Linked DNA regions of Saccharomyces cerevisiae S288C. Changing the gene in region 3 together with the main gene of any one other region gives a genetic interaction. Each region holds a gene or a part of one and is shown on either strand. Other genes may lie near its edges. The genes, in order: VPS68, HFA1, AUR1 and YBR284W.

Region 1 (6,871 bases), on a different chromosome or scaffold from region 3:
CAAGCACGTTTTTACTCAGCCCGTCCGCTTTGAGATACAAAAACGATATCTGAAATTAAAATTTTCTCTGGAACATGGTCCATCGAACTAATTATGCATAATAACGTACGTTCCTATCCTATGAACACTTTTCTTTTTCTGGATAAACTGACTTAACAGTAGAAAACGTAGTGTGCAAGGCCATCCTTCAATATAGACTCAAAATTAGAAAGAGTGCCCTGATTAGTTGAGTTTTTCCTTCTATAAGCAAGAAAAATATCATCCTGACAAGAGACAGGTATTATATAAAATATTTCTACATGGAAGTATACTGTTAGTTGAACATAAATTCAACAAAAGGATACCATTACTTCTTCTCAAAGATCATCGAATATTGCTAGAAAGCGTAAAAGCATTTTACCATGTCATCATCCTCAAGTTCATCAGAGTCATCGCCTAATTTATCGCGGTCAAACTCACTGGCTAACACGATGGTTTCCATGAAAACAGAAGACCATACGGGATTGTACGACCATAGGCAGCACCCTGACTCACTGCCGGTCCGTCACCAACCTCCAACATTGAAGAACAAGGAAATTGCTAAGTCCACTAAACCTTCTATTCCTAAGGAGCAGAAGAGTGCAACGAGATACAACAGCCATGTGGATGTGGGAAGCGTACCCAGTAGGGGCCGCATGGATTTTGAAGATGAAGGGCAGGGTATGGATGAAACGGTTGCTCATCATCAATTGAGGGCATCTGCCATTTTAACTTCTAACGCGAGGCCTTCCAGACTAGCCCACTCCATGCCACATCAAAGGCAGCTTTATGTGGAAAGTAATATACACACACCACCAAAGGATGTAGGTGTAAAGAGAGACTATACTATGTCATCTTCTACTGCATCATCAGGTAACAAATCCAAGCTGAGCGCATCTTCCTCGGCAAGTCCTATTACGAAGGTTAGAAAATCTTCGCTGGTCAGTCCTGTTCTTGAGATCCCACACGAATCGAAATCTGATACACACTCCAAGCTGGCTAAACCCAAGAAGAGGACATATTCTACCACATCTGCGCATTCATCTATCAATCCCGCAGTTTTACTGACGAAAAGCACATCCCAAAAATCGGATGCAGATGATGATACATTGGAAAGAAAACCAGTACGTATGAATACTAGAGCTTCTTTTGATAGTGACGTATCACAGGCGTCGAGAGATTCTCAAGAGACGGAAGAAGATGTTTGTTTCCCTATGCCACCACAATTGCATACCAGAGTTAACGGTATAGATTTCGATGAACTGGAAGAGTACGCTCAGTTTGCAAACGCGGAGAAGAGTCAATTTTTGGCAAGTCTGCAAGTGCCCAACGAACAGAAGTACAGTAACGTTTCTCAGGATATCGGGTTTACCAGCTCTACTTCCACTTCGGGATCATCAGCTGCCCTAAAATATACACCAAGAGTTTCGCAGACTGGTGAAAAGAGCGAGAGTACCAATGAAACAGAAATCCATGAAAAGAAGGAAGACGAGCATGAGAAAATCAAGCCTAGTTTACACCCTGGTATATCTTTCGGTAAAAATAAAGTTGAAGGGGAAGAGAATGAAAACATTCCATCCAATGACCCGGCGTATTGCTCTTACCAGGGTACAGACTTTCAAATTCCTAATAGATTTTCTTTTTTCTGTTCCGAATCTGATGAAACCGTTCATGCTAGTGATATCCCTTCCTTAGTGTCTGAGGGACAAACATTCTATGAATTATTCAGGGGAGGTGAGCCAACATGGTGGTTAGATTGTAGTTGTCCAACTGATGATGAAATGCGTTGCATAGCAAAGGCGTTTGGTATCCATCCATTGACTGCAGAAGATATCAGAATGCAAGAAACACGTGAAAAGGTGGAACTTTTCAAATCGTATTACTTCGTTTGTTTCCATACCTTTGAAAATGATAAAGAATCAGAGGATTTCCTGGAACCTATTAACGTTTACATTGTTGTCTGTAGGTCAGGTGTTTTAACATTCCATTTTGGCCCAATATCTCATTGTGCTAATGTCAGAAGGCGTGTAAGACAGTTACGTGACTATGTCAATGTCAATTCAGATTGGTTATGTTATGCTTTAATCGATGACATTACTGATAGTTTCGCTCCTGTAATTCAATCTATTGAATATGAAGCAGATGCAATCGAAGATTCTGTGTTCATGGCTCGTGACATGGATTTTGCAGCAATGTTACAAAGAATTGGTGAAAGTAGGCGTAAGACAATGACGTTGATGAGACTTCTTAGTGGTAAGGCTGATGTTATCAAAATGTTTGCCAAAAGATGCCAAGATGAAGCTAATGGTATTGGACCGGCACTAACATCTCAAATAAATATTGCTAACTTACAGGCAAGGCAGGATAACGCCAGTCATATCAAAAATAATAGTTCGACAACTGTACCAAATAATTATGCGCCCACCACATCACAACCGAGGGGGGATATCGCCCTATACTTGGGTGATATTCAAGATCATTTGTTGACAATGTTTCAAAATTTGCTGGCGTACGAAAAAATTTTTTCTAGATCCCATACAAACTACTTAGCTCAACTGCAAGTGGAATCATTTAATTCTAATAATAAAGTGACAGAAATGTTGGGTAAAGTCACCATGATAGGTACAATGCTAGTTCCATTAAATGTTATCACTGGTCTTTTCGGTATGAATGTTAAAGTTCCGGGGGAGAATTCCAGTATCGCGTGGTGGTTTGGGATATTGGGTGTGCTGCTTTTGCTGGCCGTCCTTGGTTGGTTCTTGGCCAGCTATTGGATTAAAAGAATAGACCCTCCTGCAACACTTAACGAGGCCGCTGAAAGTGGAGCCAAATCGGTTATTTCGAGCTTCTTGCCAAAAAGAAACAAGAGATTCAATGATCGTTCCAAAAATATAAATGTAAGAGCCGGTCCTTCAAACAAATCAGTTGCAAGTCTTCCTAGTAGATATAGCCGCTACGACTGATTAGTGATGTGATAAAGATAGAAGATTTAAGTCACAGAGGCGTGCATCTACGATTTTGGCGTTTCACATTTTTTACACTTAAATTTTAGTGATCTAGCCGTGACCTTGGCAGCAGTTTCCAAAATCATTCCATGACCATGTCATGCTTAAGAACGTTAGACCCAGAACAAGTGGACCTGTATTCTAACTCTTCACTCTTGGGCAAAGATAATAGTATTATCTTTTACCCCATTTTTTGTATGTTTTTTCGTTTATTGAGTTTGGCGTTTCCTATTTAGAAATAGTACAATCCGGTCAATCATTCGATAGTGAAATATATATATTTAACTAGGAAAATTAGTAAAACCTCATTTAAAGATCATTCACCTTGATATATACTACTATTGACCTTTTGTTAATGACCATTTTCGTAAAAATGAACTGCGATTCTCTTCTGGAATTTGTTACCCTACCTTATTCACTAAATCAGAAATAATAATGTGCAGCGCCCCTTTCATAAAGAAGGCAAGTATAGGGCATATAGTTAAAGGTCAGAACTCTTTATCCCCAACTACAAGATCAATTAGAAAATCACATCATCATGGAGGCAGATGATCATGTTAGCTTATTTCGCTTCCCCTTCAAGATTCCCACCTTTCGTGGTATAAGAAAAGGTGGGGTCTATCTTTCAGGTGCTCTCTATGCTCTAGGCTTTTGGATATTTCTAGACGCAGTGCTCTATTCTAGATATTCCAATGCATCAGATGTTCATGTTACGTTCATTGACTGGATTCCTTTTCTTTGCAGCACACTGGGAACATTGATTGTGAATTCTATTGAAAAGAATAGATTATTGCAGGGAGCTTTATCGTCAGATGGTGGTGCCTTCGGTAGTGGTGTAGGCGATTTAGATTCAAGCATGGCATGGCAAGCTCGAACCGTTTTATTTTTTGGCTTTGCTTTATTAGCTGGTGGGCTATCAGGCTCCATTGTCGTGTTGATCATCAAATTTTTAGTCAAGGATTACAATACCTATCCAACTTTGGGGATGGGAGTAAACAATGTGTTGGGGAATGTATGCATATTATTGAGTTGCGTTGTTTTATGGATAGCCCAAAATGTTGAAGATGAATATTCATATTCTTTGACGCTCTAAGTTAAGTTGACCAATATTTTCGAGGCCAATTAAGGCGATCTGATTTAGATAAAAAACGTATATATGTATTTATCAACACTTTTTCGAAAACAAAAAGATTTTTAGATAGGAGTATGTACATTCCAATATATTTGTAATGTTTCACATAAAAGGACAGTCTGAGAAAAAATGCAAGTAATGTGGTAAGAAGGAAACATAAGATGACGGCAAATGCAAAAATGAGGTAAGAATCAGCAACTAATCCAGAGATGGCACAATCAAGTTGTAATACTCTCCAAGAGCCCTTTTCTCCGATGCACTAAAATTAAAGAGGTCTGGTAGGTGAACCGGCATACTCGAACCTCTTGGCAAAAAATAGGTTTCATTTCTTAACGCGTCAAAAAATTCGTGAGCCATCAATTGTCTAGCATCGCACCTTTCAGTGGCATCATACGTCAACACCTTTAGCAAGAATTCCACATCAAAAAATTCTATAGAGGGAAACCAATGCATAAACTTCTTGAATTTTTGGTCATTTAAGCTATCCTGTAACTCTTGAGAATTTTTTATAGAACTTTTAGGAAAGCGGCCTAATAGTTTAGCTATCTCCTCCAGTTGTGAGTTAGCGCTATCGCCTTTAAAAAGTGGCTGGCCTTTTATCATTTCGCCTATTATACAACCAAGCGACCATATATCTATTTGAGTTGTATAATCCTTCGAATTTAGGAGAAGTTCAGGTGCTCTATAAAACCTCGAGCAAAAATAGGTCTTCAATTCTGTATTATCATCCAGTCGCTGTGCCGAGCCAAAGTCACACACTTTAGCAATACCGCTACTTGGTATAATCAATATATTGCTCGGTTTCAGATCGCCATGGCATATACTCATGGAATGTAAGGTCAGAAGTGCTCGAAGTATTTGGAATGTGTACAGCTTGATATGTTTTGTAGGCATCTTAGAACCATTGTCAAAATATTCATGAATTTCAGAACTTAAGGTTTGAGGAATGTATTCCATAACAAAGTTTTTCTGATATAAGTGCCCACCGTCCTTGGTAGTACAGTGGCTCTCGAAGAAGAACTCTAAAGTAACCAGATTTGGATGTCTGATATTCTGTAAGATCTCCAATTCCAAAGATTGTACTTTGGGAGATTTCACTACTCTTTTTATGGCATAAGGTCCTAGCCATTCAATACTATTGCTCGACAGAATGGACTGTGTCACAGTTCCAAACGAGCCGTGGCCTATCCGTTTCCCTTCCCTGACGTACATTTTGCTCTTTTGTCTGTTTTTAATCGATACGATGTCATCGATAAAGTAGTGTTCATCCTCCAATTTTGTCATTCTATTGGGGTTGCTCCCGAAAACGTTATTCACTTTAAGCATTAGGTATGTTAGTGCTAAAAGCAAAATGTATGTAGTATTTTCTTTTTTTTTGTTTGTTTTTTAGTGTCCTCATCGATGTACGTACTGTATCAACACAACGAAGAACGACACCTCTTTATAAACCCTAAGCTTGCTATTTGAGAGCAAGAGATCTTTACGTAAACAGATAGGGTCACACAGACTATACGAAAACCTGTCAATATAATCTATTCGGATAAGATTATCAACCCCTCCCTGCAAGATTTTTTATTGTTATTATTACAGTTTTTAAACTGGTAGCAGAGCTATCCGGTAAACATGTACTAATCAGTCTAACACCCCGGAGGAGGCTTATCATTACATATTCTTGTCTCGGCGTTCTTTAAGTTTCTTATCTTGTATGCCCGATATAGCAACCTTGTTGGTACCAATCTAACGGTTTCCGTACTTTGCAATGAAGAGATGAGGAGGCATGGGTCACTTATTTAATATGTACGGGTGTTTACATGGAGTTGCTTTCTTTTTTTGTCTCAGCAGTCATTGTGCGCCAAAAAAAGAGAAAACCGTGAGCCGAAGTCCACGCTCTGGAGTTAGGCTCTCCCATTACGGAGAGAAGCATTTCCTCAGCCTGGGAGCCCCGTTGGAACAGTCAGGCTAAACTGGGCCTTCCTACCCACTGCTTGCTGTTTCTCACTGGACGCACAAGGGGATTTTCTTTCTACCTTCGGCTTGCCTCACTGCGTTGGGGCTTCCCAATGCAACTTCGTTCGTATGCATACAATCTTTTAGATATTATCTTTTAAAATTATTTTAAAACAATTTTAAATGTATCTCATATGCTTTTCTTCTGCTGTTGAAAAGGCTAAACAAAGAAGATCAATAAGATAAAATGGCTCCATCTGGTATGTGAACTGCAATATTAATAGCACGAGAAAATTGAGAGGAAGATAGATGGGAACTAGTAGAGTTGATATTGATGAGATACGAAAACCACACGTAAATAAACTATCCGACGACAAGAATAGTGCATTAAGGACTTGATTAAGATATGGTGAGCAACGTAATTATCGGGCTCAACAGTTTATTAGCAATCGTTTTGATAGAAGCGTTGATGCTGTGGAAGTTGTTCTTTTTACTACCAACAGCCATTAACAAATCCATTAGAGTGTTCGTTCGTTTTTCTGCTCAGATTCAAGAAAATTATTCCATCCTCATTATACTTTTTTCTTCTATTTCGTGCTCCACGTCGAGGTATCAAGGAACATAGTTTACTAACATTAACGAATTCATCTCCTATGAATTTACTTTTTGTATAGCTAAGGCTACTGCCGCTAAGAAAGCTGTCGTTAAGGGTACTAATGGTAAGAAGGCTTTGAAGGTCAGAACTTCTGCTACCTTCAGACTACCAAAG
Region 2 (11,703 bases), on a different chromosome or scaffold from region 3:
TTGTTTTTGAAACTTTATCTACAACCGAATTCAGAAAAATTTTGGAGTCATTGACTTGTTGTTCTTTAGACAATTGTAAATAGCCCTCTTGTATATTGAAGAATTGAGTAGTCAAATGGTTTGCTCTCTGCGAAACCGATATCGTTACTACTTCATGCATTTTTTATTCTTGTCTGCCAATTATATATGTAATTTTAACAATTAACCCTCTTCTTCCAAGGTTTTAATTCATCGCATCGATTATATTTTGTTCCATTCGAAATTTTCCATTTTAAGTTTGGCGAAGCTTTTCACGTTTTCATTCAGAAATAATGATGTCGAACATCAAAAAAAAAAATTATCAGGTTACACATCTAAAAAGTTGACTTATTTACAAACTAATTCGCGCGAAAGGTTGTGGCTATGGGTTCGCAATTAGGATCTGGGAGTTGAACATTTTCCAAGTCAGGTTTTAAGCCCTTTACAGTAATTTCGTCGTGAAATATTTTCAAAAATCTGCATAAGGGTTCTGCGTACCACCTTCTGCCGGATCTGTCTTTGAACCATCCAACATGCCCCCCCGTCGAAGTTTCTAGAAGCAAAGTGTATGGATTGGATTTTATTTGGTCTATAGGAAGATCACCTCCGACAATTGGGTCATCCTGAGCATGCAAAGCTATAAAAGGAGTTCTGATCCCGGGTATTCTTTTATATGATGAAGCATTCTTGTAATACTCCTCTGCATTTTTATATCCAAACATTGGGCCTGTCAACAAGTTATCAAATTGCCTCACAGTGCGAATCTTTTTTAAATGCTTCTCGATAACATCTTTGAAATCAGGGTTTTCTTCCAGAGTAGAGAGATGGTTTCGAACCATGCGTAGTAAGTTGTGACCCAAAGCAGGTGAATAAAATCGTGACCCCATTGGTGTACTGTTAATAAAATATGCAGAGTTGTACAGGTCAAATGGATTACTCACGGAAATAGCACATTCGATTTTAGTACGATCTGACTCTTCTCCCAAGTAATTTGTCATTATAGATGCGCCTAACGAAAATCCCATCATATAAAACTTTCTATTCGGAAATCTTTTCCTCAAGTCATTAACACAATATCTTATATCATTGGTCCAACCACCGTTGTATAATAGCGGCGTTGTAATTGCAGAATAACAACATCCTCTAGCATTAAACACGCATGCTTCAAAGTCATACTTCGTGGTGATTTCATGAACAATTGCCCTCACGTAGCTTTCCCTCGAACCCCCTGTTAATCCATGGAGAATAATAAGCATAGGCTTAGCATCGTCTGAGTTCAATTTAGGATCATCAGGGGAATAGTACGAATATCTTCGTTTCAAGTTTCCGTTAAATACCGGTTGACTTGTCGGCACGTATTCTTTTTCCACTTTTCTTCTTTTGGTACTTCTACCATTTACAGCAAAATCCACAGTCCCTTCTCCCCCATGTGGGTATTTGATTATCATTCTTTTATATTGAACTTTGTATATATTGTCAAAGTGTCTAAAGGAACCATATGCAGTTTGTAAATGGCCATTGACCAGTAAACCATATAAAGTGTCAGTAGCACCGTCAGCTAATTCAGGAACTTTAGTATCTATTAGCTCAGGGATGGTGATCTCTTTATTTTCATTCTCTCGTTTATCGGTGGACTTGAATGCAATAGGATCCTCAGGGACCTCTTGATGAACAATCAAAAAATTAGGTAACAATTCTTTTAGACGCATATCGTCTCTGGAAGTTTACCAGCGTTTGTATAATACAGTTTTAAAATAACAAAGTAGTTGGTTTTTATCGAACTTCAAATAATTGAGACCCTTTTAAGATCCACAATACTTTTCGGGGTTAGGTAAGAAGACCCGTAAAAAAAAAAAAACGTAAACGATGCTGTACAATTAACAAATTTTTCAGGAAATAGAAGAGGTAAAAATATTGATATACGAAGTTGAGGAGCGCCAATGGTTAGCTCACTGGCATCAAATATAATTCTAGCCCTTGTGGTAGTCCTGATGACACTGCTAAGGCAAAATAAGCCGTTGCAGAGGTGGTTTGTATCATATGTTGAAAAGCTATTATCAAGAAAATCAAATCTGGCCCAAAAAGTCAGCGTTTTATCGCCCTCCTTAAAATTGGTTGATGTTGAGAAATCAATATCTGCCGATCAATCGAATCTTTCTAAAATTAATTATCAGATTCCCACTCTTCCTGATCTTACGGGGAATTTAATCCGTTTACATGAGTATCGAGCAAGAGGAGAAGGCTATAATGGCCTTTTATTTCGGAGAGCAAGACAATTAAATGGAATTTCAGAAGATCAGTTGCAAAAATTAGGCTACTTCACCAAATTAATGAAAAATAATGAGGGTATCCGAGAAAACGCAAGAGTTATTGACAAGATAATTGAGTTCACTTTAGGGAAATTGATTCATTCCAACGAACACGATGAAGAATTTACAGAGGAAATTGAAAAGATATGCGCGGAACACGGCTATAAGATTAAAGATGGTCACCTTATTCAATTGAATCCTGACTTCGTATTTCCAATAGTTTCGTCTCGAGGCAGCCAAAGTGTGGTCCATGAAGCATTAGCACATTTGTGTCGTGATTTCAGCTCTTACTATAGTGTGGAAAGAGATCCTTTACAAAATTTTATCATTAGTAGAATCAACCATCATGTGATTAGTGCCGGGGACATGAAAGAGAAAATTCTTATCGTGACCCCAGGGGCTGGTGTGGGTGGCCTATCCCATACTCTTGCCACCACTTTCCCCAAAATACAGGTGGACTCCATCGAATTATCAGCCTTGATGTACATATGTAACCTATTTGCACTCGAATATAAGCATGACGTTAAGATACGTCCTTTTGTACAACAATATTCATGCCAGACAGTGTTTGATAATCAGTTGAGAAGTTTATCGGCAGATTTGAGCAAAGTTGGCCACCGCAGTAATCTGGACCCACTATGGGGGGACTTCACACGATATTCTCCCATTTCCAAAGACTATGATAAAATTATCATTTGTAGCGCATATTTCATAGATACCGCGGAAAATATGTTTGAATATCTATCCAGTATTGAAGCACTAAAGAAATACTGTAAAGAGCTGCATTGGGTCAATGTAGGTCCATTAAAGTATGGCACCAAACCCTTGGTCCAATTTACAGGAGATGAATTAAGTCGGCTGCGTAAAATTCGCGGGTGGAAGGACCTTGTGGAGGAATATGAAGTTGATAGCTCAAAGGGATTGAATGGCTATTTAACTGATTATGAGTCAATGTATCAAGGATACTATGGTCTGCTTAAATTTCATTCTGTCTTCGAAAGCTGAATTGATACTACGAAAAATTTTTTTTTGTTTCTCTTTCTATCTTTATTACATAAAACTTCATACACAGTTAAGATTAAAAACAACTAATAAATAATGCCTATCGCAAATTAGCTTATGAAGTCCATGGTAAATTCGTGTTTCCTGGCAATAATAGATCGTCAATTTGTTGCTTTGTGGTAGTTTTATTTTCAAATAATTGGAATACTAGGGATTTGATTTTAAGATCTTTATTCAAATTTTTTGCGCTTAACAAACAGCAGCCAGTCCCACCCAAGTCTGTTTCAAATGTCTCGTAACTAAAATCATCTTGCAATTTCTTTTTGAAGCTGTCAATTTGCTCTTGAGTAATGTCTCTTCGTAACAAAGTCAAAGAGCAACCGCCGCCACCAGCACCGGTAAGTTTTGTGGAGCCAATTCTCAAATCATCGCTCAGATTTTTAATAAGTTCTAATCCAGGATGAGAAACACCGATTGAGACAAGCAGTCCATGATTTATTCTTATCAATTCCAATAGTTGTTCATACAGTTCATTATTAGTTTCTACAGCCTCGTCATCGGTGCCTTTACATTTACTTAACTTAGTCATGATCTCTAAGCCTTGTAGGGCACATTCACCCATGGCATCTAGAATTGGCTTCATAACTTCAGGAAATTTCTCGGTGACCAACACACGAACGCGAGCAACAAGATCTTTTGTAGACCTTGGAATTCTAGTATAGGTTAGGATCATTGGAATGGCTGGGAAATCATCTAAGAACTTAAAATTGTTTGTGTTTATTGTTCCATTATGTGAGTCTTTTTCAAATAGCAGGGCATTACCATAAGTGGCCACAGCGTTATCTATTCCTGAAGGGGTACCGTGAATACACTTTTCACCTATGAAGGCCCATTGATTCACTATATGCTTATCGTTTTCTGACAGCTTTTCCAAGTCATTAGATCCTATTAACCCCCCCAAGTAGGCCATAGCTAAGGCCAGTGATACAGAAATAGAGGCGCTTGAGCCCAACCCAGCACCGATGGGTAAAGTAGACTTTAAAGAAAACTTAATATTCTTGGCATGGGGGCATAGGCAAACAAACATATACAGGAAACAAAACGCTGCATGGTAGTGGAAGGATTCGGATAGTTGAGCTAACAACGGATCCAAAAGACTAACGAGTTCCTGAGACAAGCCATCGGTGGCTTGTTGAGCCTTGGCCAATTTTTGGGAGTTTACTTGATCCTCGGTGATGGCATTGAAATCATTGATGGACCACTTATGATTAAAGCTAATGTCCGGGAAGTCCAATTCAATAGTATCTGGTGCAGATGACTCGCTTATTAGCAGGTAGGTTCTCAACGCAGACACACTAGCAGCGACGGCAGGCTTGTTGTACACAGCAGAGTGTTCACCAAAAATAATAACCTTTCCCGGTGCAGAAGTTAAGAACGGTAATGACATATTGACAGTTTTCTATACGTAGATATAAATTTGCAAGTTAGGACTAAGAAGCGCACCAGCTAACCAGGAAGTAATATCATGGCTAACTAACCTTTATAGGCATATCGTTGTATCGTTCTTCGATACCCTGTCGAAGATTTCAGTGCGACAGCCAAACGAGGCCCGAAAATTGTCAGTACAATTACAACCGATAAAATACACGTTGAGACAAAACTAGCACAAAACGCCTCTTTAAACATAAATGTGTACGCATTCTGAAAGTGAGATAGAGTACAAGGCTATCGCTAGCTTTCCACGGGAGAAGTAGTAGGAACCTCTCTTTTTATTGCTTATGACAGTAATAATAGCATCATTCATCAATGTTTCCGTTAGGGTAACTAAAATGGGTGGGCGGCAGATGACAAGAAAAGATGAATAATGAAGAATGATAAAGAAGAAGTCATCTTGGGTAGAAAGGGAAGACAATTACACACGGCCAAAGCTGGGGGGCTCGCCGGATACATTCTCACTTTTACATTACCATATTCACAATTACTTGCATTCGAATAGGACAGTACAAGCTCGCGTTATATTTGGATCCTTATCGATTCTATAATATAACGGGCAGCCAGATAGTACGGTTGAAAGGACAGCGCCCTGAATACAGAAAACGCATTTTTGCCCATTCGTATAGGCATTCATCTCGAATAGGTTTGAATTTTCCATCTAGAAGAAGGTATTCCAATTATGTGGATCGAGGCAATATTCATAAACATACTCGATTACCGCCCCAGTTCATAGGGCTAAATACTGTGGAAAGTGCCCAACCTTCAATATTAAGAGATTTTGTTGATTTACGTGGTGGACATACTGTTATTTCAAAGATCTTAATAGCAAACAATGGTATTGCTGCGGTGAAAGAAATGAGATCTATAAGAAAATGGGCGTACGAGACGTTCAATGATGAAAAAATCATTCAATTCGTGGTAATGGCGACACCTGATGATTTACACGCAAATTCGGAGTATATTAGAATGGCAGACCAATATGTGCAGGTACCAGGGGGTACCAACAACAACAATTACGCCAACATAGACTTAATACTGGACGTGGCAGAGCAAACGGATGTGGATGCGGTCTGGGCTGGATGGGGCCATGCTTCTGAAAATCCGTGTCTTCCTGAGCTGTTAGCTAGTTCACAAAGGAAAATACTATTCATTGGTCCTCCTGGACGCGCTATGAGATCATTGGGTGACAAGATTTCTTCCACTATTGTAGCACAAAGCGCTAAAATCCCGTGTATCCCTTGGTCTGGTTCACATATAGACACTATCCATATCGATAACAAGACGAACTTTGTATCTGTGCCGGATGATGTATATGTAAGGGGATGTTGTTCCTCACCTGAAGATGCTTTAGAAAAGGCTAAATTAATAGGATTTCCTGTAATGATTAAGGCATCCGAAGGTGGTGGAGGTAAGGGCATTAGGCGAGTAGATAATGAGGATGATTTTATTGCATTATATCGCCAAGCAGTGAATGAGACACCTGGGTCGCCTATGTTTGTTATGAAAGTTGTCACTGATGCTCGTCACTTAGAGGTACAGTTATTAGCTGACCAATATGGCACTAACATTACATTGTTTGGGAGAGACTGTTCCATACAAAGGCGGCACCAAAAGATTATAGAAGAGGCACCAGTGACAATAACCAAGCCTGAAACGTTTCAAAGGATGGAACGCGCAGCAATTCGTCTAGGTGAATTGGTAGGTTATGTTTCTGCGGGCACTGTCGAATACTTATATTCACCAAAAGATGATAAATTTTACTTTTTAGAACTGAATCCGAGACTACAAGTAGAGCATCCAACGACAGAAATGATATCTGGCGTAAACCTTCCTGCCACTCAACTGCAAATCGCCATGGGCATTCCTATGCACATGATAAGTGATATCAGAAAACTTTATGGTTTAGATCCAACGGGAACTTCGTATATTGATTTTAAAAATTTAAAGAGACCCTCGCCAAAAGGCCATTGTATTTCATGCAGGATCACTTCAGAAGATCCTAATGAAGGTTTCAAGCCCTCCACTGGGAAAATACATGAGCTCAATTTTCGTTCTTCTTCCAATGTTTGGGGTTACTTCTCAGTAGGAAATAATGGTGCTATTCACTCATTTTCAGATTCCCAATTTGGGCACATTTTTGCTGTAGGAAACGATAGGCAAGATGCAAAGCAAAACATGGTTTTAGCTCTAAAAGATTTTTCCATCCGAGGAGAATTCAAAACCCCCATAGAGTACCTGATAGAGCTATTAGAAACTCGGGACTTTGAGAGTAATAACATATCGACTGGTTGGTTAGATGATTTGATTTTGAAAAATTTATCTTCCGATAGCAAACTAGATCCAACGCTCGCTATTATCTGTGGTGCCGCAATGAAAGCATACGTTTTCACAGAAAAGGTGAGGAATAAGTATTTGGAATTATTGCGGAGGGGCCAAGTTCCACCTAAAGATTTTCTTAAAACGAAGTTTCCTGTTGACTTCATTTTCGATAATAATAGATACTTGTTCAATGTTGCTCAATCATCTGAAGAACAATTTATTCTTTCTATCAATAAGTCTCAATGTGAAGTTAATGTTCAAAAATTGTCCAGTGACTGCTTGTTGATCTCCGTTGACGGTAAATGCCATACAGTTTATTGGAAGGACGATATCAGAGGTACAAGACTTTCGATAGACTCCAATACCATATTTTTAGAAGCTGAACTCAATCCCACTCAAGTGATCTCTCCAACTCCGGGGAAATTGGTGAAATATTTGGTCCGAAGTGGTGATCACGTTTTTGCTGGACAGCAATATGCAGAAATAGAAATAATGAAAATGCAGATGCCACTAGTAGCGAAAAGTGATGGTGTAATTGAGTTACTAAGACAGCCCGGTTCCATAATTGAGGCTGGTGATGTCATCGCAAAATTGACTTTGGATTCGCCGTCCAAAGCTAACGAATCGTCTTTATACCGCGGAGAATTACCTGTTTTAGGTCCACCGCTAATAGAGGGTAGCCGACCAAACCATAAGCTCAGAGTCTTAATAAATAGGTTAGAAAATATTCTCAATGGATATCATGAAAACTCTGGAATAGAAACTACTCTAAAAGAGTTGATAAAAATATTGAGAGATGGTAGGCTTCCTTATTCAGAATGGGATTCCCAAATTTCTACGGTACGCAATAGACTACCAAGGCAATTGAATGAGGGGCTGGGAAATCTAGTCAAGAAATCTGTTTCTTTTCCTGCAAAGGAACTGCACAAATTAATGAAGCGCTACTTGGAAGAAAATACAAATGATCATGTAGTTTATGTTGCCTTACAGCCACTTCTTAAAATTAGTGAAAGGTATAGCGAAGGTTTAGCTAATCACGAATGTGAAATTTTTTTAAAGTTGATTAAAAAGTACTATGCTGTTGAGAAAATTTTTGAAAATCATGATATACATGAAGAAAGAAACTTACTAAATCTGCGGAGGAAAGACCTTACAAACTTGAAAAAAATTTTGTGCATAAGTTTATCGCATGCTAACGTAGTCGCAAAGAACAAGTTAGTAACTGCAATATTGCATGAATACGAGCCATTGTGCCAGGATTCCTCTAAGATGTCTTTAAAATTCAGGGCTGTTATACATGATTTGGCAAGTTTGGAATCTAAGTGGGCTAAAGAGGTTGCTGTAAAGGCAAGATCAGTGCTACTCAGAGGGATTTTCCCTCCCATAAAGAAAAGAAAAGAGCATATTAAAACTCTCCTGCAATTGCACATAAAGGATACTGGTGCCGAAAACATTCACAGCAGGAACATATATTCCTGTATGAGGGATTTTGGTAATTTAATACATTCAAATCTGATACAACTTCAGGATTTGTTCTTTTTTTTTGGCCATCAAGATACGGCTCTTTCCAGTATAGCATCTGAAATTTATGCAAGGTATGCCTACGGCAATTATCAATTAAAAAGTATTAAGATTCATAAAGGAGCGCCTGATTTACTAATGTCATGGCAATTCAGCTCATTAAGAAATTATTTAGTCAATTCTGATGGTGAGAGTGATGAGTTTACAAAACTTTCTAAACCTCCCTCAACATCAGGTAAGAGCTCAGCAAATAGTTTTGGTCTTCTTGTCAACATGCGTGCGCTTGAATCTCTGGAAAAGACATTAGACGAGGTATACGAACAAATTCATATTCCTGAGGAAAGACTTTCCAGCGGAGAGAACTCTCTTATTGTTAATATTTTATCTCCTATTCGTTACAGAAGTGAAAATGATCTAATTAAAACTTTAAAAATTAAACTTCATGAAAATGAGAGAGGTCTATCCAAGCTCAAGGTTAATCGTATTACATTTGCATTTATCGCCGCGAATGCGCCCGCTGTTAAATTTTACTCCTTTGATGGAACTACGTACGATGAAATCTCTCAAATAAGAAATATGGATCCATCCTATGAAGCACCGTTAGAGTTAGGAAAAATGTCGAACTATAAAATCAGATCACTACCTACATACGATAGTAGTATACGCATTTTTGAAGGTATTAGCAAATTTACGCCGCTAGATAAAAGGTTCTTTGTCAGGAAAATCATAAATTCCTTCATGTATAATGATCAAAAAACAACCGAAGAAAACTTGAAAGCGGAAATCAATGCTCAAGTGGTTTATATGTTAGAACATCTAGGAGCAGTTGACATCTCAAATTCAGACTTGAATCATATTTTTTTAAGTTTCAATACAGTTCTTAACATACCAGTACATCGTCTCGAGGAAATTGTGAGTACAATTCTAAAGACTCACGAAACCAGATTGTTTCAAGAAAGAATCACAGATGTAGAAATTTGCATCTCTGTTGAGTGCCTAGAAACAAAGAAGCCAGCCCCGCTTAGATTACTTATTTCTAATAAATCTGGGTATGTGGTAAAAATTGAGACATATTACGAAAAGATAGGGAAAAATGGGAATCTGATTTTGGAACCGTGTAGTGAGCAGAGCCATTATAGCCAGAAATCTCTCTCTCTTCCTTACTCGGTCAAGGATTGGCTACAACCTAAAAGGTACAAAGCTCAATTCATGGGTACAACATATGTGTACGATTTCCCAGGTCTGTTTCATCAAGCTGCAATCCAACAGTGGAAAAGGTATTTTCCAAAACATAAGCTGAATGACAGTTTTTTTAGTTGGGTTGAATTGATAGAACAAAACGGTAATTTAATAAAAGTAAACAGGGAGCCAGGCCTTAATAATATAGGGATGGTTGCTTTTGAGATTATGGTTCAGACACCTGAATATCCTGAAGGGCGTAACATGATCGTGATTTCTAATGATATTACCTACAATATTGGATCTTTTGGACCGAGAGAAGATTTGTTTTTTGATAGGGTCACAAATTATGCAAGAGAGAGAGGGATCCCGAGGATATACTTGGCGGCGAATTCAGGAGCTAAATTGGGTATAGCCGAAGAGCTGATCCCTCTATTTCGTGTAGCATGGAATGACCCCTCTGATCCAACAAAGGGTTTCCAGTACTTATACTTAGCTCCAAAAGACATGCAGCTACTGAAAGATTCTGGGAAAGGAAATTCGGTTGTTGTTGAACACAAGATGGTATACGGTGAAGAGAGATATATTATTAAAGCAATAGTCGGATTCGAAGAGGGTTTAGGTGTTGAATGTTTACAGGGCTCGGGTTTAATTGCTGGTGCCACTTCGAAAGCGTATAGAGACATTTTCACTATTACTGCTGTTACTTGTCGGTCCGTTGGTATAGGTTCCTATCTGGTCAGACTAGGACAACGTACTATTCAGGTGGAGGATAAGCCTATCATACTGACGGGTGCATCGGCGATTAATAAAGTTTTGGGTACCGATATCTATACATCTAACCTACAAATTGGCGGAACCCAAATCATGTATAAAAACGGAATAGCGCATTTAACAGCCAGTAATGATATGAAAGCCATCGAAAAAATAATGACATGGTTATCATATGTCCCGGCGAAAAGAGATATGAGTCCTCCACTTCTTGAAACTATGGATAGATGGGATAGGGATGTAGACTTCAAACCTGCCAAGCAAGTGCCATATGAGGCAAGGTGGTTGATAGAGGGTAAATGGGACTCAAATAACAACTTCCAGTCAGGCCTATTTGATAAGGATTCGTTTTTTGAGACATTATCTGGATGGGCCAAAGGTGTAATAGTTGGAAGAGCACGTCTTGGAGGTATTCCCGTGGGTGTTATTGCGGTAGAAACTAAGACTATCGAAGAAATAATCCCCGCTGACCCAGCTAATCTGGATTCTTCAGAGTTTTCCGTTAAAGAAGCAGGACAGGTGTGGTATCCAAATTCCGCGTTCAAAACAGCTCAAACTATAAATGATTTTAACTATGGTGAGCAATTACCATTGATTATCTTAGCCAATTGGAGGGGATTTTCTGGCGGTCAAAGGGATATGTACAATGAAGTACTAAAGTACGGGTCTTTTATTGTTGACGCTCTGGTTGACTACAAACAACCCATACTGATATACATTCCGCCCTTTGGTGAATTAAGGGGCGGATCATGGGTTGTTATAGATCCAACTATTAATCCTGAACAAATGGAAATGTATGCCGATGTTGAATCTAGGGGAGGTGTGTTAGAACCTGACGGAGTAGTTAGCATAAAATACCGTAAGGAGAAAATGATAGAGACGATGATTCGATTAGACTCCACATATGGACATTTGAGAAGAACGTTGACAGAAAAAAAGTTATCTTTGGAAAAACAAAATGATCTTACGAAGAGATTGAAAATAAGAGAGAGACAGTTGATACCAATTTACAATCAAATCAGCATACAGTTTGCAGATTTACATGATAGATCGACTAGGATGCTAGTTAAAGGAGTAATCCGAAATGAGT
Region 3 (3,560 bases):
TCTATCTTTTCGCAGTTATCATCTAACCCGGAAAAGTTTCAACAAGACTTTAGCCTTTTAATGGAAACTCCCACTAGTTCAGCTTAAACAAAATAGAAAAGCTTCAACAGAGGAAAGAATAACGCAAAACCACCCTTTTCACTAAGATGCTTTATGAGCTGATCGGACTTGTTCGCATAACCAACTCCAATGCGCCAAAGTTGGAAGCAAAAGAATTGTCTTCCACAATCGGGAAACTGATTATTCAAAACAGAGGTGTGGTGAGGGACATTGTACCCATGGGCATAAGGTATCTTCCTAAAATAATGAAGAAAGACCAGGAAAAACATTTTCGAGCATATCACTTTTTAATGCTGTTTGATTCATCAGCTGCGGTACAGTCTGAAATTCTAAGAACTTTAAAGAAAGATCCCCGTGTCATAAGATCATCCATCGTTAAAGTTGATTTAGATAAGCAGCTGGATAGAGCCTCATCGTTACACCGTTCTTTGGGGAAGAAGTCTATTTTAGAATTAGTGAATGAAGATTATCAATCCATTTAGGTATAGCGCACAGGTTTTGACTGGGGACGCTACAAACACATGTAAATACATACATATCTTTCATACACATATAATAAACAAAGCAGGAAGAGCATTCTAAAAGCCTCACTTAACATAGACACCATTAAAAGCCACCCATTTATTTCAAAAATTTATAAAATTCTAAAGATAATCAGTGGTATGTGATTAAATAAACTACATGTATATTATGCTAAACGACAATCCTGACTAAGAAAAAGAAAGAAAAAGATATATATTTATATGTATCTACATAAGACCAACCGTATCCGTAATTGCAGATAAAATACTCATTAAGCCCTCTTTACACCTAGTGACGTTATAGACGTGGCGGACGAACGAGAAACAGAAGTAGATCCATCAAATAACGAAGGGCTTACACTGGGTTCATCAGTCATATTAAGATCAAAGTCAAGTTCCAAGTTGGACAAAGGGACACTTTCGATATCGTTTGAATCTGCAGCCAATGGATCACTCTTTGATATATCGTATTTCTCAATTGAAGTGTATGACCATCTGCAAAAAAGAGATGTATCTACAATTGGTAAATGTGTGTACTTTGTGTACTGGAAAATAACGTATGACAGCACAGAACCTGCCATAAGGTCTACAAAATAATGGTGTGTCAGATACATAGTTGACCACCATAACCAGCAAACATAAGCAATAAACAAGGGCTTCAATTTTGGAAAACAATAACAGAAAAACAGGGCTTCCATAGTAGCACACCCGGAATGCAGTGAAGGAAAAGCACCGAAAATGACGGAGGAATTTGAAAAAGCTGTAGTATACATATTAATACCGAGTAGCTTATCAATTCTAGCTAATCCACCAGGCGAGCCATGCATATCATAGTTGGCTGATTGCAATCCATAGAGAATTTTATACCATGGGGGAGCGGCTGGAAAGACATTTTGCATGATAACACCAAACAGGTTCATATAACCAAATGCAAAAGCATAACCTTGCAAAACAGTTGGTGGACCAAATACGAATAAGATGGCAGCAACGACAAATGGGGCCCCAAAATGAAATAGTCCGTACGGTAACCATGCTAAAATGTCCAAAAAGGAATTCGTCGATGTTGCAAGAATATCACTTAAATTGTCGCCGTATAAAATTGTTTCCACCGCTGGTAACACTTTGACAGTAATAGGAGGCCTGCGGTCATCTGGAAAGTACGATGAAGTGAAATACAGCGCCACCCATGTTAGGATGGGCAAGGCATTGAAGAAAAACTGTGACGTAGCTGGAATGATGAATAAAGTGCCCAAGAAACAATAAAAAAGGATCTTGAAGATCCAAGGTGCGGGATTAGTAATGAACACAAACAGCATGATGGATCCCAAGAAGATGTAATGCACCCAGTCGCTTAAAGCGGGTTTGTATTTTTGCACCTTCAACAACGTTTGATGGGGATCTAAACTTGTTTCTAAATCGGCTACATGGCAGTTTGGAGGTCTCTCTGATAGAAACCATCTCGAAAAAGGGTTTGCCATACGCAAAGGAATGATTAAAAGCTTTTTAAAATATGAAAACCGCAACCTGTAGGATATAAAATAAAGTACTTTTGGAGAAAATTCAAAGATCCTTGGGCCAAAAGCTATACCCAAAGTAGCTCAGTGTGAAAAAGGAAAAGGATAAACTTATGAAGTACTTAACAACAACCAAAAGTGAGCGATCGGACTAACCAACTACCTAAGAGATGTAGCAGTAGAAATCCTACTCTGTTGGTTCACGAACAAAAGTCGCTAGTGTTCTTACGCTATGGTAACTGAAGCAAAAAATACGCCTCTGCAGTAGTACCAAATCAGAAAACCACTTTGTAACAAATATGAACACTGATGGGCACTTTATTATTCTTTGACAGAAAGAAATAAAAAAGCGATGACCCGCCAAGCAATGAAGTTGATATTCTTTTGTTGTGGTTTTTTTAGCTCATTTTTGTTTTTTCCTTTTTTCAGTTTTAGGATCACTCTTCACGAATAACTTTTCATATCATTTCTGGGAGCTGGGGAGAGATGGATACTATTTCACAAGACATGCAAAGGGATGCCCAGACTGCAGTTTGGCCAAAAGGCTTGCAATGAAAGAGGATAGGTTGACGAGATCTTAGTATTTTGACTTGTTCTATACACAGGGAGCTATCGATTATCCTAGGTTCTCTTTTACTTTTAGCTTTTATTTAGTTTAAATTTATTATGTCTGTCCGTACTTCTTCAAGATCTAATAAGGGTCAGAATAAATATATTGAGTATTTGTTACAGGAGGAGACTGAAGCACCAAAGAAAAAAAGAACTAAAAAGAAAGTTGATTCAGCCATAGAGAAGAATAAGAAGTCTGATTCTTCTCAGGAGCCAAGGAAAGATACTGAAAATGTAAGAACAGACGAAGTAGACGAAGCGGATGAGGGCTATGTTAGATGTCTGTGTGGGGCGAACAATGAAAACTACGATGCTGCAGAATATTCGCATGGCGACATGGTACAGTGCGATGGCTGTGACACTTGGCAGCATATTAAATGTATGACTGATGGTAAAGACACCATAGATGGGCTAATGAGTGAAGATTCTAAGTACTACTGTGAATTGTGCGACCCATCATTGTATGCACATTTGGAAACGTCAAAGGAGGCAGAGGTTTCAGAGGATGAAGATTACCATGATGATGTTTACAAGCCCGTAAATGACCATGATGACAATGATGCAGATGTCTTTCTTGATGAGGAAAGCCCTAGGAAACGAAAAAGGAGCCCCGATAGTGCCAAAGGAATTCATATCAAATCCAAACAGGTGAAGAAATCCAATGGGTCAAAAAAAAGGAATAAAAGCATTGATGCCGCCAAGTCTGATACTGCCGAAAACGAAATGCCTACTAGGAAAGATTTTGAAAGCGAAAAAGAACACAAACTGAGGTATAATGCAGAAAAAATGTTCTCTACCTTATTTAGCAAATTCATCGTTCCCGAAACAATTGAGGCAAAACTTTATGAGCTTCCTG
Region 4 (8,403 bases), on a different chromosome or scaffold from region 3:
AGTATAAGACCCAGACAGGCAATTTTCAAGTAAGGCTGTAGTTATATGTGTACTTGAAATTCCATGCGAAACTAAATAGAATATAATGAGAATATAAGTCTTGGAATAAAAAAGGAATATAAAACTATGCTAAAAAAAAAAAAAAATGAATAAGACTTTCATTCATGAAGACTCTATACAAAGGAATGAAAAGTTGTATTAAGTTGGGTTAGCCCACTGTAAAACGTAAATTGCACCTGAGACAACAATAATACTTACAGGCAAACTTAAGACAGCGTACCCCCAAAATAGAATATCGGCCATTTCTGCCTCGAAAAATTCATTCAGTTGAGTGATTTGAGTTAATTGAATGGCAGGAGGGGAAACAGTCAAAAGAAAACCGACAACAAGGAAAATTGGATCGTCCAAAATACTCACGTTTATGTACTTAACAGCAATAGCAATAATAGGCAAAAGGAAGCAAGAAGGTAAAATCATTCTTCCGATGATGGAGCCGATCAATAACTTGCTATGGTGAACCGTCTTAGGGAAGACTTCCGCAGAAGGATATAAGTTAGAACCGAGGACAACCAGGATCAGTGGGATAGAAACTGAACCCAGCTGCGTAACAGCCTCGGCAAATGTGTTATTGATAAACCCATCTTCCATAAATAGCTCTCTCTGCAACGGACCAATTGCTGCCACAACAACAGCAAAAATCATGGAATATAACGGAGGATTAAGGTTCGCTCTGATTCTCTCAAATACAGTGCATGATTTTTGCCAAATCTTATCACCGATGGAACTCGAACTCAAAAAAGATGAGTTCATTCTGTTATTTTCTTCTTCAAGCAATTCTTGTTCCTCTTGTTCCTCATTGACAAGTTCCTCGTTATCAATGTTGGGCGTCCTTTCCAACAAAGATTGCACTTGAGAAGGTGGCATATGCTGAGTGTTCTCTCCAGACCACTTCATTAGCTTATTGTAACCCCAGCTCCACCTCAGCATTTGTCCGATTTGTTGAAAGATCAGCAAGTATAAAATACCCCTTGATGCAACGTTATCTCTGTTATCATTAGGAATTTGGTCCCAAGTTAAGTTGGGCAGAGTGTAAGCCAAAGATAATGTCAAGGACACAGGTAGAGAGTTACTGTTACCAAAGACAGAGTTTGCCACCACAAAATTAGTTTCATCTTTATCCAAGTCTAGGATACGGCTCATTATCTTTCCGGAAATAAATGAAATACCAGTAGTCAAACCAAAAAAAATAGGAATGATGGCTATTTCAAAGATTTTGGCCATGGACAGGGATTTGGCCAACTTACTAAAAATAAGACATGGTGTAAAAAGGTCCACGTTCAACAGAGAAATGATTTTTTGACTTTGTTTGGGCAGCAGACCAGAACTAGCGCTCCAAAAACCAGCGAGTGCGATAATGACTACCTGTAAAACGGACTCAAAGACCAAATAAGCCAAATGAGCAAAACTAAATGTTTCAACCATATAGTAGAAATGCAGAGTAATCTATGAGGGTATGGTTAGTTGGGAATAACAAACCAAAAACGGGCTTCACACATATTGTTCAATTTACAATAATTTCCTGTTTAAACTTTTATATCACAATTTCAGTTTTTTTTTCTACCTTTTTTTCACTTTGATAAGGAGGCTGTGATCCCCTTGATGCACGTGCAGTTAAAAAAAAGAGGGTTTTTATTTTCTTTTAGATAATTATACAGAAATACTTGATGTGAACAGTACACTTAAATAATCAAGAAGTCGGCCCTGTACTTAAATTGTGGTTGTTGAGCATTCAATATGTCCACCTCTTTGTGCTTTTGGGTTTCTCTTTTTGGGAAACCCTCGAAAGAGTCAGCATAGGTGGCCACAGAGTGAGCAATCAACTTGGTGTTGGTAATGAATGCGTCCCAGGATAAGTTAGAGACATCATCACATAATTGATGGTAGCATCTGTCTAAGACCTTTCCGTTGTTGACGTTATTCTTTTCGGCACCAGTGGCAATACCACCGGCTGGAATTCCGTTGTTGATAAACCCGACATAATCGGATCTACCGTCAAATGGGACCAAAGTGTAGTTCAAGTGATGAGCCTTGTAGTAGTCTACGTACAGGTTTTTCAACTCTTCAGACCCCTTAGGGTTCTCCTTGTTGTTCGCATCATAAATTTCGTATTCATAGTTTGGAGAAGCCATCATGTCATAGTCCATAAATACTCTGATCTTGGAGTTTTCTTCTTTGGTCAAGTTATAAGCGTAGAAGTTAGAGCCTAGCAAACCTTCTTCTTCAGCAGCCCACCATGCAAAACGGACCTTGTTATTGATCTTGAAATGGGTCAATTGCTTAGCGACGTTCAATAGGGAAATAGTACCGGAACCATCGTCGTTGATACCTGGGCCCTCCTCAACAGAGTCTGAATGAGCACCAAGGGCAACAATATTATCAGGATCACCGTGTTTTGTGTCGGCAATGATGTTCTGGGTCTTGATAAATTCTACATAAGAGTCCATGGCAAAATATAATGAATAATCGATGTTCAATGCAATATTGGCAATCAATTTTTTACCAACTTTATATGGAACACCGACGGTGGCGACAGTGTGCTTGGTAGGTTCGCCTAATGTACCGTGTAGTCCTTCTTTAGATTTAGGTTCGTTGTCGTAAATGACCACAGCGGTGAAACCGAACTTACCGGCCAAATTACTCTTATCGCCAAAAGGACACTTACCTCTTTCGATAAGGGCAATTTGCTTTTCGTTGTGTCTTGGTGGGACTACAGAGGCGTAATCCTTCTCTTCACATCCCAAGTTAGGAATTTCGACTAGCTTACCTACGAACCCGTCCACAGGTGGAGAAAGTGCGAAAGCTGTAGTGTTAGCAAAGCTTTTACCGGTTTCGGCGTCAGAGAGGTTGAAAGAGATGATCTTACCGGATAAAGCTTCGAACTCTTGCAAAGAAACATCATAGTAGTCCTGCATGTCATCGAAAACATTCAATATGTATTCCATAGTCTTGTTATGACCCTTGGACCCGATCACACGGGTAGGGTGACCGTAGTCAGGAGTAGAATAGTTAGCTAAACGGTAGAGGTCCCAAGCAGTAGCATTCAAATCGTCAACTTTGATTTTATCTTGCAATTTTTCACTTTCTACATGTGGTTTCATGAAGTAAGGAATATGTGGCTTCGGAATGTTGGCAGCAACGGCAGAGCTATCATCGTCGTTTAATTGCGGAAGATAATTCTCAATTGGCTCTTCTTGTTGAAAGGCTTCCTGGAAGAATTGAGGAATGACATAGGCAGAGCCTAAATTGGTAGCGTAAAACGCAGCGACAGCCAATTGCTTCAAAGAAAAGTGCATGGTTGGCGTTTCTGTTTTTTTTTTTTTTTTGGCTTCTTCTACCAATTGTTGAAAGGCTGAACATGGTTTTGTTCCCATCCATTGTTCCTCGCTTTTATATTGAAAAAAGAAAAATTTTCCTAAGGACCCCTTCTTCCTGAGGGTTAATTTAAGGGAATTCAAAGTGTGTCAATAGTAATTAATAGAACTAATCAATATATTCAGTATAACTTTTATTATTAATAGTATATGATATTACTTTTTGAACTATATATTTATGGAAGCACAAAAACATAGAGAACACTCTTTCTGACGATAAGAAAGGTGATTATATCAAGATATATAATGAAGCAGCTCAATTGTCTTATTTCTTGTATCTCAAGTAGCTCCTTCTAGTGCTACACTTTAGTATTCTGCTTTGTTTATCATCGAACCTATCAAATTCCACGGAATCCTCTGGTGAATATGTGTTCTGGTGCCGTGTTGAGTTATCGTTATCCAATTTGTGTTCATTGGCGACAAGGCCCTTTTTCAGCTCATTCAAATCTATGCAATGATTATTAACGCCTTTCTTATCAATGGCAACCTTACCCAAATTGTTTCTGTTTCTAGTCAGGATTGTAGCCATTTCTCTATCTGAAATGTCCGCCTCCATGCTATCGTCAGTGGGGCTTTCTAAGGATTTTATGTTTATGAAACCATTGTTTTCATTGCAATAGATTATTTCAATGGGGGAAGGCTCTTGCTTTTTAAAGGAGAATAGACTATCAAAATATGAGAACCTAGAAAATATGGTCATTGTCAACTATAAGCGAGCTTAGAGATTTCGAATTGTTATGTTATAAATGGAGTGATAAGACTCTTGTTTGAGGCTTGGGCTTTTTGATTTATATTAAATTAAGATATGTAAAAAAAAAAATAAATTAAAAAACGTGTGTTCTATTTACAGTATCTACTTACTTATTTGTTTATATATTCCATTAGTTTACTTATCTTTATCCTTAACCTTTTTTTTTTGTGTGTGTGGGGAAGGGCGGTACATAATATTAGCGTCACAATATGCGCCCCTCGAAGAAACATGAGCGAATTCACGCAATTATGAGTCGCCACTCCCCTGCGAGAGTGCTACTGCGATATTGACGTCTGATGATCGGAACGTTATGCTCTAAACTTGTATTTGGTTTACAATCATACCACTTGTCTACAAACCCAGTGTTTTCCACGAAGTAGTCATGGCTGGCTAAGGAAACGCCGAGCCATTTGTTCTTTAGGGTACTTGAAAATCCACTGGTTATGACACTGTTTCTTAGAAGTTCGCATAAATCTGCTGAATGTAAACGGTATATACTAGCCGCTACACTATACTCTTCTATAATGGGTTCTTTCGTATACGAATTGTTGTAGAGGATAGATTCTGAGCTCAGCGATATCTTGAACCCCATTTCAAAAAACTTCATGAAAGGGTTCTTCTTATAAGGCTTTGAGGGCTCTAGGACAAGCCCCGTCGGGGCTTGTTCTTGCAGCATTGTAGGCTTTGAATCTACTATGGAATTCAAAGGCGCCACAACCATGGGAATTTGACTTAGATAGAAAAGATACACCAGTGATGGTGGTGCATTCCAGAGATTTTCTGCATTTAGAAACCCTCCACAGGCGAGCAAGAAATTGTTTAAAATAGCTTCCGTATGTTCTGTGAAGTTCAGTGTATTACTAAACTGTGAAGTTCGATTCATTGAGGTGGGAGAACATGAACTTCTCAAAGTGAAGGTATTTTGATGAAGGGCTTGGCGGATATGGTTCAATTTTGTTAGGTTGACGTAGACGTAATACATATATTGTGAAATGGTTGGATTATCACCGCCAGATGTCCAATCTTTTGGCAAGCAACTAACTGCTGTGAAGTTTTTCCAAATATAGTTGTCCGTATCTTGAATACATAGATCAATCGAAGATACTTGAGAAAGAAATTTCAAAAGAATAGGTCCTAATGACTTGTGTAGATAATTTTCGGCATTGAAAAGTGGTTTGAAGATTAGATTTAAATACTCCTGAAAATTCTTCACCTTGCCAGTATGATACAGTTCTGGATAAATTCTAGAAATGCGAATATTCCAGCGAATATTGTTAGAAAATATATTATAGTGGTTCAGCCAATTGGCAAAGACCATCCACCAATTGTCCACATCGGAATTATCGTAATGCAGATAAAATTGGAAGTCCACGGAGAGTTGACATAACTGATATTTCGACTCCTCTTGCGGTTTTATTAAAAACGTTTTCAGTAGTTCCGCTAAGTATTCACCATTAATATAGTTATCAAACTCCAAAAATGTTTTCGCAATCAAATAGTATCGAAGCTGCTTACCGTGTGAGCCTGTGTGTATTTCCATTTCATCGTTAACCAAATGATATTTTGCGAGATAAATAACTTTATACCACTCCAAAAATGAATCGTCAATAATTTTCAACCCATTGAAGAACTGACCGGTCTCCTCGAAATTCACTTTGAATAATTGGCTCAAGGTTATATGACTACCATTAAAAGCTTGATGGATAACCCTGTCCGGTTCTTTTCTCAACTTGGTCCAAATAAACTCAGTCAATTGCCACTGTGAGAAACAGCCGCTTAACAGAAGATTCAGATCAATCTTTCTACAGTTGTAAAAATCCTTGTGTGGCACCTTTTTGCTCTGTCTCATTTCTTCCTTGGAATGTAGGTGTTGAAAAACTGGAAACTTATTTACAAGATATTGTAATCTTTTTTCGCTAAACCTTGATAGGCTTCTATCTCTTATAATTTTCAAGCACCATTCAAAATCTTCCCTAAATTCTTTAAAAGTGGGGATATTAATCTGACTGTTGAACAATTCCGTCATATAATTACCATCCTGGAGGAGGTTTACAGTATTACTTTCCTCTAGATCAAGAAAGTGACGTATTCCAAATAATTTTTCTTTTACAGGTTTAAGATAACCCCCAGCCACTCTTGAATGAAGCTGCGGACATGACAAAGCATCTTGTTTACTTATAGTTAGATAATTTCGCCTTAACTTAGACATTTCCAACAGGCATTTGCGGTCTATGCGGAAATGTGTTTGCTCAAAGAAATAGCTAGGAAGGTGAGCCAAGGATGAATATGCTAGATCTTTTGTTTTTAAAGGTTCGACAGGAGGTGGCGTTTCTGCCGGCATCGCCATGGGTGAACCCATCTCCATCTGCATATCGAACTTCGTATTTAGTGGGACCATATCAAGATCATCCAAATGCAATACTACGTCAGTATTACTATCCTCGAAGATTTGAGCTCGAGGATTTCTTACTCGAGCTTGTGATGTAATTCCTACGTCCCCGTCGAAAGCTAAACCCTGATCCGACACAGCGTCATTTCCATCCAGGTCGTCCAAGCGTATTGGTGAAGTGGAAGGGCTCTCCTTATAAGAGTCGCATTCAACGAAAAAAACCGATTCATTGTTCTGTACCATTGTTTGTGTGATACCCTGATAAGTCCTCCTTTTCCTGTACTATTTACTAAAGATGTCGCCTGTCCTACTTATACTGTTTGTATCCACTGAACGCGGGCGCAAACTCTTTGCCACCCCCGTATTTAGCCGCCAACGATATTTTTGCGTCCAATGATAATAACCGTTGATAGTACCGAAACAACAGAGAACAACCATCATACACTCATGCCAAATTATAAGAACAGACACTGTTGAGACTGTTAACGATATTCTTTCATAACGTGAAACATAAAGTTGTTGAGATACCTTTCTTTTTATTGCTACCGGCCACTTTGAACTACATTACAAGTTATATTCGATTTGCAGCCATATATGTGACTTCAACTGCCCTGAATTGCTTTTCATAATGCATAAGGACTATCCTCGTCTTAGGTTTAATCATTCCTCTGTCTGTACTTAATGCAACCATGTAGAGGGGCGCTAACGATATCATTAGACACGGTAGGATCTGTATCACTTTACACGCTTTCGTGGCAAAGAAAAGAGCTGAAAAAGTGAAAAAAAAAATGTCGGGTAGAGAGCAAAGCGGAAGCAGGGTTTGTTTTACACCGACAAAATAGTTATCCTTTGTTCGCTAGCTACCACAGTCTTGATAGATGTCATTTGGTCCTTCATTGAATTAGTAAAAGTTAATAAAAGTAAGATCGAATACACTGCAGAAAAGCTTGCTCTTTTTTTTTTCTTTGCTTGGGTTGGGTGGTTTTTCATAGCTTTATTGAATTGAATCCATTACTCGTACGCATTTTTTAGCACATTTGCCCCCGCCACTCTCCATTGTTTTAGTATGTCTGGTTTTCGTCTAATTGATATCGTTAAGCCTATCCTACCGATTTTACCGGAAGTTGAGTTACCTTTTGAAAAATTACCATTTGATGACAAGATTGTCTATACTATTTTTGCAGGGTTAATTTACCTTTTTGCACAATTCCCACTTGTTGGTTTGCCCAAAGCTACCACACCTAATGTTAATGACCCCATTTATTTTCTAAGAGGTGTATTTGGGTGTGAACCAAGAACCTTGCTAGAATTTGGCCTTTTTCCCAACATTTCTAGTGGGTTAATCTTACAATTATTAGCCGGTTTGAAAGTAATTAAAGTTAATTTCAAGATCCAAAGTGATAGAGAATTATTTCAAAGCTTAACAAAAGTTTTTGCCATTGTTCAGTATGTGATTTTGACCAACATTTTCATATTTGCAGGTTATTTTGGTGATGATTTATCTGTGGTACAGATCGGGTTGATCAACTTTCAATTGGTCGGTGCTGGCATATTCACCACTTTGTTAGCTGAAGTCATCGATAAAGGATTTGGATTTTCTTCTGGAGCTATGATAATCAACACTGTGGTAATCGCCACTAACTTGGTGGCTGATACTTTTGGTGTTTCTCAAATTAAAGTTGGCGAGGACGACCAAACCGAAGCCCAAGGTGCCCTAATCAATTTGATTCAAGGTTTAAGATCTAAGCACAAGACATTTATTGGCGGCATCATCTCTGCATTCAACAGAGACTATCTACCAAACTTGACAACTACTATTATAGTTTTGGCAA

Evidence for each region.
Region 1: mutations in AUR1 (region 3) and VPS68 together harm fitness more than expected from each alone (negative genetic interaction), as found in Saccharomyces cerevisiae (one large-scale study listed by BioGRID).
Region 2: mutations in AUR1 (region 3) and HFA1 together harm fitness more than expected from each alone (negative genetic interaction), as found in Saccharomyces cerevisiae (one large-scale study listed by BioGRID).
Region 4: mutations in AUR1 (region 3) and YBR284W together harm fitness less than expected from each alone (positive genetic interaction), as found in Saccharomyces cerevisiae (one large-scale study listed by BioGRID).

The regions. Positions count from the first base shown.
Region 1 is NC_001147.6:73,999-80,869, forward strand, and holds VPS68 (Vps68p), read left to right. Parts: upstream 1-3,561; coding exon 3,562-4,116; downstream 4,117-6,871. Other genes in the region: Mg(2+) transporter ALR1, read left to right, coding at 402-2,981; serine/threonine protein kinase YGK3, read right to left, coding at 4,354-5,481; 60S ribosomal protein uL23 RPL25, read left to right, coding at 6,350-6,362, 6,777-6,871. UniProt on the Saccharomyces cerevisiae protein: Involved in vacuolar protein sorting.
Region 2 is NC_001145.3:677,540-689,242, reverse strand, and holds the start of HFA1 (acetyl-CoA carboxylase HFA1), read left to right. Parts: upstream 1-5,678; coding exon 5,679-11,703. Other genes in the region: DML1 (Dml1p), read right to left, coding at 1-160; MGL2 (putative carboxylic ester hydrolase), read right to left, coding at 378-1,727; YMR209C (uncharacterized protein), read left to right, coding at 1,959-3,332; ERG12 (mevalonate kinase), read right to left, coding at 3,445-4,776. UniProt on the Saccharomyces cerevisiae protein: Catalyzes the rate-limiting reaction in the mitochondrial fatty acid synthesis (FAS) type II pathway. Responsible for the production of the mitochondrial malonyl-CoA, used for the biosynthesis of the cofactor lipoic acid.
Region 3 is NC_001143.9:434,079-437,638, reverse strand, and holds AUR1 (inositol phosphorylceramide synthase), read right to left. Parts: upstream 2,060-3,560; coding exon 854-2,059; downstream 1-853. Other genes in the region: mitochondrial 37S ribosomal protein bS6m MRP17, read left to right, coding at 147-542; BYE1 (Bye1p), read left to right, coding at 2,762-3,560. UniProt on the Saccharomyces cerevisiae protein: Catalytic component of the inositol phosphorylceramide synthase which catalyzes the addition of a phosphorylinositol group onto ceramide to form inositol phosphorylceramide, an essential step in sphingolipid biosynthesis.
Region 4 is NC_001134.8:769,650-778,052, reverse strand, and holds YBR284W (metallo-dependent hydrolase superfamily protein), read right to left. Parts: upstream 6,815-8,403; coding exon 4,421-6,814; downstream 1-4,420. Other genes in the region: APM3 (Apm3p), read left to right, coding at 1-41; YBR287W (uncharacterized protein), read right to left, coding at 199-1,482; APE3 (aminopeptidase Y), read right to left, coding at 1,740-3,353; HAB1 (Hab1p), read right to left, coding at 3,697-4,131; SSH1 (Ssh1p), read left to right, coding at 7,638-8,403.